Xenopus tropicalis: one gene and its partner. The protein of the gene in region 1 interacts with the protein of each later gene in a pairwise test. Links are inferred from orthologs where the notes say so. Each region holds a gene or a part of one and is shown on either strand. Other genes may lie near its edges.

The links.
Region 2: the proteins of smurf2 (region 1) and spart interact in a two-hybrid assay, tested with the Homo sapiens proteins (2 studies listed by BioGRID and IntAct). The link is inferred for Xenopus tropicalis from reciprocal best matches to the Homo sapiens genes SMURF2 and SPART.

The regions. Positions count from the first base shown.
Region 1 is NC_030686.2:51,425,277-51,429,837, forward strand, and holds the start of smurf2 (E3 ubiquitin-protein ligase SMURF2), read left to right. Parts: upstream 1-1,744; 5' UTR 1,745-1,984; coding exon 1,985-2,036; intron 2,037-4,561. UniProt on the Homo sapiens protein: E3 ubiquitin-protein ligase which accepts ubiquitin from an E2 ubiquitin-conjugating enzyme in the form of a thioester and then directly transfers the ubiquitin to targeted substrates.
Region 2 is NC_030678.2:151,956,170-151,959,981, reverse strand, and holds part of spart (spartin), read right to left. Parts: intron 3,701-3,812; coding exon of another isoform or gene 3,699-3,700; coding exon 2,880-3,698; intron 719-2,879; coding exon 521-718; intron 1-520. UniProt on the Homo sapiens protein: Lipophagy receptor that plays an important role in lipid droplet (LD) turnover in motor neurons.

The DNA of each region.
Region 1 (4,561 bases):
GGTGTGACTGTCTCTCAGTGAGTGACTCTGGGTAATGGTGTGACTGTCTCTCAGTGAGTGACTCTGGGTAATGGTGTGACTGTCTCTCAGTGAGGGACTCTGGGTAATGGTGTGAGTGTCTCTCAGTGAGTGTCTCTGGGTAATGGTGTGACTGTCTCTCAGTGAGTGACTCTGGGTAATGGTGTGACTGTCTCTCAGTGAGTGTCTCTCAGTGAGTGACTCTGGGTAATGGTGTGACTGTCTCTCAGTGAGTGTCTCTCAGTGAGGGACTCTGGGTAATGGTGTGAGTGTCTCTCAGTGAGTGTCTCTCAGTGAGGAACTCTGGATAATGGTGTGAGTGTCTCTCAGTGAGTGTCTCTCAGTGAGTGACTCTGGGTAATGGTGTGAGTGTCTCTCAGTGAGTGTCTCTCAGTGAGTGACTCTGGGTAATGGTGTGAGTGTCTCTCAGTGAGTGTCTCTCAGTGAGTGTCTCTGGGTAATGGTGTGAGTGTCTCTCAGTGAGTGTCTCTCAGTGAGTGTCTCTCAGTGAGTGACTCTGGGTAATGGTGTGACTGTCTCTCAGTGAGTGTCTCTCAGTGAGGGACTCTGGGTAATGGTGTGACTGTCTCTCAGTGAGTGTCTCTCAGTGAGGGACTCTGGGTAATGGTGTGACTGTCTCTCAGTGAGTGACTCTGGGTAATGGTGTGACTGTCTCTCAGTGAGTGACTCTGGGTAATGGTGTGACTGTCTCTCAGTGAGTGACTCTGGGTAATGGTGTGAGTGTCTCTCAGTGAGGAACTCTGGGTAATGGTGTGACTGTCTCTCAGTGAGTGTCTCTCAGTGAGTGACTCTGGGTAATGGTGTGAGTGTCTCTCAGTGAGTGTCTCTCAGTGAGTGACTCTGGGTAATGGTGTGAGTGTCTCTCAGTGAGTGTCTCTCAGTGAGTGACTCTGGGTAATGGGGTGAGTGTCTCTCAGTGAGGAACTCTGGGTAATGGGGTGAGTGTCTCTCAGTGAGGAACTCTGGGTAATGGTGTGACTGTCTCCCAGTGAGTGTCTCTCAGTGAGGAACTCTGGGTAATGGTGTGAGTGTCTCTCAGTGAGGAACTCTGGGTAATGGTGTGACTGTCTCTCAGTGAGTGTCTCTGGGTAATGGTGTGAGTGTCTCTCAGTGAGTGTCTCTCAGTGAGGAACTCTGGGTAATGGGGTGAGTGTCTCTCAGTGAGGAACTCTGGGTAATGGTTGTGACTGTCTCTCAGTGAGTGTCTCTCAGTGAGGAACTCTGGGTAATGGTGTGAGTGTCTCTCAGTGAGGAACTCTGGGTAATGGTGTGAGTGTCTCTCAGTGAGGAACTCTGGGTAATGGTGTGAGTGTCTCTCAGTGAGGAACTCTGGGTAATGGTGTGAGTGTCTCTCAGTGAGTGACTCTGGGTAATGGTGTGACTGTCTCTCAGTGAGTGTCTCTCAGTGAGTGTCTCTCAGTGAGGAACTCTGGGTAATGGTGTGAGTGTCTCTCAGTGAGTGACTCTGGGTAATGGTGTGAGTGTCTCTCAGTGAGGAACTCTGGGTAATGGTGTGAGTGTCTCTCAGTGAGTGTCTCTCAGTGAGTGTCTCTCAGTGAGTGACTCTGGGTAATGGTGTGAGTGTCTCTCAGTGAGTGTCTCTCAGTGAGGAACTCTGGGTAATGGTGAGTCTCAGACTGTGCGTCGCTCACAGTGTCCGGCCCCGCCCACATTCCTGCCTCCCGCTACTTGCAGTCTCCTCCCACAAGTGTCCGTGTCTCCGCCCCATTCCCGCCTGTGCCCCGCCCCTGTTCCCCGGTGCCTCCTCCCCGGGCTGTGAGTGGCTCCCCCGGCCCGTGTGGCTCAGTGCTGTCTCCGCTCTGCCCCAGGCTGATGGCGCTAGTCGGTAACTCGGGGCCCCCACAGTCCGCCTGACTCTCCCGCCCTCCCTCCGTACTCCAGGCCGCGGCCCGGGCCTAGCCTTGCTGTGGGACTCCCCGGGGCCATGTCTAACCAGGGATCCCGGCGGAACGGGCCGGTGAAGCTGCGACTGACCGGTGAGTAGGCCCGATACCCCTGCGTGGGGCAGAAGGCTCAGGGTGGGAGGGATCACAACAACAAGTTGGGCCCGGTGCTTCCCAGCATTCCGTGCGTTTGTCATGAGTTCCGGGGGCAAGTAGGGTAATATTCACCCCAGCTACTTCCTGCCGTTAGTTACCCCTCAGGCCTAACCTGCATGTTCCATTGAGCCCAGGGGCCCCTCTGGCTTGGCCTGGAGCTGAGCAATTGCCCTTTGAGGCAGGATTACTTGCCCTAGGTGGGGGTAACTAGTTGGTTTGGGGCCCTGGGTGCTTCTGGGGTCACACCCTGTGCTTATTGGGGTCCTGCCCAGGCTGTGAGTGCGCCCCCTAATTACAGGGCAATAACGAGACCTAATTAATAGAGTTTATATGAGTCTGGCGCTTGTACCCCTGTATGGGGCAGTTAGCTCATGTATGTGCCTGATTCCTGCGCCACTTGCCCCTGTATAGGGGGTACTTATTAGAGGGAAGAAGTCACTTGTGTAGGCTTGTGGGGGCGCCAGGAACCCTAAAATAAACCCCAAATGCCCAACCCCTCCCCTATCGGCCAGGCCTGGGGGCTGCAACCATCTTCCTTCAAGGCTTCGCAATCCCCTTTCTGGGCTAATGTGCATTTGGGGCAACTAGGATTGCTGCTCTTTGGATTCTGCCCCTGCTCAAGGTACCAACATGGCTCCTCAGCCCCAATGTGTCTGAGTTGCATCTCGATTGTGAAATAAGTTTTAGTCCTTTAATGGCATTTTACTGTATTTTGCGTGAAATCTGGAGTGGTCATTGGGGTATGTAATGGATCTGCCCTGGGCACTGCCACCCTTGGCTACTGGAACTCTGGCTGGACCTTATTTGCCCTTTAACTCATCTTTGAAGAGGATGCTGGGATTTGTAGTTCTTTAACAGCTGGTTGCCTAGGCATTCAAAAAGCAGTATTACTAAGTCCTTACCATATGGGCCCCCCTTTCCTCACTGACTACAGGGGGGCTGGTATTAAAAGCAATCATGGGTACCCACTCTAACCATAGGAAATGCCCACAATGGCTTGGCATGCAGAGATTTACAGTGGCATCCATGGTAGTGAGTATTGGCCTTGTCTGGCATTGTCCTTTAATTGTGAACCCTGTTGTTCGGGTTGCCTTTTGCTCACACTGAATGCTGGGAGATGTAGTTTCACAATATGTGGGCCTCTGGCCTAGGTGCCCTGCATTGTCAGTACAAGTGCAGCTGAGTGTGAGAGAGTACATGGAATATGAATCATGGTTTCTTATGGAGTCATTCACACTGGCAGTTTCCTTCTGAGCATTTATACAGAAACCATAGAGTTGTGCCCATAGGCAGACATACAGATACCATAGAGTTGTGCCCATAGGCAGACATACAGAAGCCATAGAATTGTGCCTATAGGCAGACATACAGAAGCCATAGAGTTGTGCCTATAGGCAGACATACAGATACCATAGAGTTGTGCCCATAGGCAGACATACAGATGCCATAGAGTTGTGCCTATAGGCAGACATACAGATACCATAGAGTTGTGCCCATAGGCAGACATACAGATACCATAGAGTTGTGCCCATAGGCAGACATACAGAAGCCATAGAGTTGTGCCCATAGGCAGACATACAGATGCCATAGAGTTGTGCCTATAGGCAAACATACAGAAGCCATAGAGTTGTGCCCATAGGCCCATGTCCCCCTGACAGACCGGCGTAGCCCCAGGTTTCCCCCCTGACAGACCGGCGTAGCCCCAGGTTTCGCCCCTGACAGACCGGCGTAGCCCCAGGTTTCGCCCCTGACAGACCGGCGTAGCCCCAGGTTTCGCCCCTGACAGACCGGCGTAGCCCCAGGTTTCCCCCCTGACAGACCGGCGTAGCCCCAGGTTTCGCCCCTGACAGACCGGCGTAGCCCCAGGTTTCGCCCCTGACAGACCGGCGTAGCCCCAGGTTTCCCCCCTGACAGACCGGCGTAGCCCCAGGTTTCCCCCCTGACAGACCGGCGTAGCCCCAGGTTTCCCCCCTGACAGACCGGCGTAGCCCCAGGTTTCCCCCCTGACAGACCGGCGTAGCCCCAGGTTTCGCCCCTGACAGACCGGCGTAGCCCCAGGTTTCCCCCCTGACAGACCGGCGTAGCCCCAGGTTTCCCCCCTGACAGACCGGCGTAGCCCCAGGTTTCGCCCCTGACAGACCGGCGTAGCCCCAGGTTTCCCCCCTGACAGACCGGCGTAGCCCCAGGTTTCCCCCCTGACAGACCGGCGTAGCCCCAGGTTTCCCCCCTGACAGACCGGCGTAGCCCCCAGGTTTCCCCCCTGACAGACCGGCGTAGCCCCAGGTTTCCCCCCTGACAGACCGGCGTAGCCCCAGGTTTCCCCCCTGACAGACCGGCGTAGCCCCAGGTTTCCCCCCTGACAGACCGGCGTAGCCCCAGGTTTCCCCCCTGACAGACCGGCGTTATAAAGTCATTATGGCTGGGAATGTCAATGCTATAAATGCAGTGATGACCTGCTTTGT
Region 2 (3,812 bases), on another chromosome or scaffold:
AGCTAAAGAATGGAATGTGTTCCTTCCGGCATTCCCCTACATTGTACCGCAGGAGAACGCCACCGCAGGGGAGCGCAGGAAGGAACGCTTGTCTGTACGAGCCCTTAGAGCTAAATGTCTCTCTCTCATGTAGAGAGACAGATTGCTGAGAGGGCATAGTAAGGACTGAGGCTGTGCTGAGGGAAAAGGGATGTAGTATCACAGCATAGTGGGGTGCTGTATGGGTCTAGTAACACCTTATTGTGTATTTGATAATTGGGGTTATAACAGATGCTTATGGATTTATGTTCTTTTTAGGTAAGACTGCATCTGGGCATTATCTATCATTGGAGTGTCCTCTGTGCACAGCTAACAAGACTGCAAAACTAGATGGCCGATCAGATGAACAGTGTGGACATATCTCCATCCATACAAGACAAGGTTTATGGAGTTTATACATCTGAACAAGGTAATATACCCACAGGTGCTTGAGTGAATAGGAGGTAAGGCTGCAATGGACAGTACAGTGCATTTCATGTACCTGAATTCTCAGATCTGACATCTGTCTCAGCAGGTCCTCAAACAGTTCCTGGTCAGCAATGGGCAGCTCAGAAGAGAGAACCACTCCCACATAGGATCCAGGTAACTGGGACATCACGTCTGGGAACATGTAGACTCCAGTGTTAGTGCGCAGGACTGGCGACTGAGTACACATGAGGGGGTACAACCAATCACAGACCTGCAAAAAGCCCAGAGGACATTTTGAACCTTGGAGTAAATTAAAATCAACAAAAAAGCAAAGATACTCAGATAAGACACCACTTTACACCATCAGCCTAAAACAGGGACATGCTAAGTCTGGTTATAATTAGCACTGCTTTTCTAGTATTTGACATATACCCATAATGACATTGGGTTTTTATATGTCTGAGTGTAATTAAGTCATTAATGTTAACGCTTACCAATAAAATTAATTTCATTTTTCATTATAGTTCCCTACTTAATTATTAGCAGTCGCGATTGTCATGGGAAGGCTGGTGCGGCCAGTTACAGGATTCTAGAAGTCTTTTTTATTTGTGCCACTGGGACCAGCACACACATCTGGTCTTAATCCTCTGAGTTAAGCCTTGTGCCCCAATATTTCTTCTTTTTTGTTTCTAAATGAGCTACAGATACACATACAGATCTGGTGGATTGTGGCAAGCAGTGCTGCTCATTGTGTTTGTTTAGAAAACAAATCCATACATTTATAGCTAGCTTGCTCCTGTACATATACTCATTTACTTTGTCCTACGCCTTCACTTTCCCTGCTCAATGTCCCAGGTTCCATAGCTTTGGCACTTGAGCTGCTTGTTACATTTCCTTATTATCGCTTCAGTAATGTCTTGTCCATCTGCTCATATATTGGCTCTTTTTCCTTGCTCTGTCAAGTTTCAAGGCACATCCTGATGTCTGCTGTAAATCACTGCTGAGAAACTGAAAGGGCCAGTCTAAATCCTAATTCCCTGTCAGTCAATGGTGATTATCTAATAACCAAGAGAGAATCTATCCAGAGATTAGTGTTGTGTAACAGCCTAGTCACCTATATAAACAAGTTACTTATATCACTCACTTATTTACAACACACACACAGATAGCTCATGCCTAAAGGTGACCATAACAATAATGGGAATACAGGCTGTTAAGACGAGGATCACATCAACTGCCTGTATCCCTAATGGGATATTCAAACCTGCCTGATCAATATCTTGACCAGATACTGGTTAGGTAGGCATATCAGAGGGCTCCATACACAGGCCGATAAGGTACTGACTTGGTCTGTTGGAAGCTTTTATTGGGCCTTGCAGATCTGGACCAGGATTCAAATTAGGCCCTGGTATTACAAATACACAGAAACCCAAACAGCCCCCACAGGCCCAACAAATAGTAACTGTCTATGGCATCTTACAGCAGCCCCACTGGCATTTTCCAGAACCCACAGAGTGGCAGTCCATGCCTAGGGCAGTGTATTGCCACCTTATTACTAAGATTTCAAAATCTGAGCGCAGACTTGCCCCTGCTTGAATAACCAAGCACTAAAAGAGAGACAGAGGGTGAAATGTTTTGACTGAAAACCAAGCAGGAATATTGGTATTTGTTGCCAGAATAGGCACTGATGGCATAAGTGTCTCCTGAATCGTTGCCTGTATTGTTTCCATTTATATTCTAACTGGATCAGAGGGATGAGATTATGAGACCCAATAGCGGGTGCAGATAGCATTTTAAAAGAATTTGTTCACCTTAAAATTAACTTGTAGTATGATGTAAATATTTATATTCTGAGTCAATTTACAATAGGTCTTCATTTTTTTATTGTGTGTTTTTTAATTATTTAGCTTTTTGTTCAGCAGTTCTCTAGTTTGGAATTTCAGCAGCTGTCCGGTTGCTAGGGTCCAATTTACACTAGCAACCAGACAGTGGTTTGAATGAGAGACTGGAGTATAAATAGGAGAGGGCCTGAATAGAAAGATCAGTAATAAAATGTAGCTATAGCAATAAAATATTTTTTGGCTGCTGGGCATATTATTTAAAAACTAAGAAATAAAAAATGAAGACAAATGAAGATACATCATGTGATTGTGAGATGCACTAGGAGTCGAGTGTAAAATATACAAATTAATATATATAATACTCTGCATTTTCCCTTAACTCATGCTAAACTCCCAGCATTCCTCTCAGTGACGTTAGGAACTGTAGTACTGTTCAAGAGCTATAGGATGTGTGTGTATGCTTCATAGCATTCTTATATACTGGACTTAGTGTGTTCTATACTTATATACTAAAAGGCATTTAGGGGTTGGCTTGTGAAAACCTTTGCCCCTAGCAGCAGAATGAAATGAAGCACTTAGTGTTTATCTTACCTGAAGAAAAGCAGGTGGGCGATTCTGAGCCACCTCACTATTGGTGTCCATAAACTTTATGATGCGAAGGTACCCTGGATATGAGGGTGCAGTGACAAGGCCATCTGCTGTTACAAAAAATATCTGCACCCCTTGTGGAATAAGAATCAGCTCTTCTGCATCCACCCCAAGACTCTGCACGGGTGGTGGCTGTGCTGCCATGGAGTAGAACTCAACTCCTACAGTTGAAAGCTCCCCTGATTCTGTCCCATATGATACTGTATAATGACCTTCGGTAGCCTGAGGGGTATATGCTGGGGGTGTAGGTGCTCCCATGATGGGATCTATGGGCTGAACAGTTTCGCTACTTGGCACAGAGGAGAAACCATTCACTGGACATGGTTCTGAGGGGCAAACAAGAGATATGGGAGGCGGTGGCCTCTCTGGCTTCTCTTTCTCCTTAGGTGGCAAGGCTGGGTACAAAGCAGGCATCTGGGATGAAGCATTTTCTGCAGCGGAATTGGAAGGAAGTGAAGTCAAACTCTGCTGTAGGATATTCAAACGTGTGTTTACATTCTGCAGGGTTTCCTCCATCTTAGCTTGCATTTGCCTGGCATTATCCCAAGCTGGGCCAGTGAACTCTGGCCTCTGTAAGGATATATTTAATCCTCTTATTAGATGCTCCTGTCCTTGCTTGTAATAGTTGCGAGCCTCTTCCTTATACCCTGTCTCGTCTGTACTCAAACCTTTATTTATGTATTTAAACGCTTTCCTGTATTCATCCTCAATGCTCCGAAGCAAGGTGTTTTCCAGATTTTCAGGGGGTGCATTTTTCTCCATCGCTGAATGATAAAAAGAAGCAGAATTTTTAAAGCTGCATAAAATTCACACATCAATTGCATTTCTAAGTTACTAGGCATGGAAGGCTCAGACCAAGGCAGTCAGTGAGTTCAG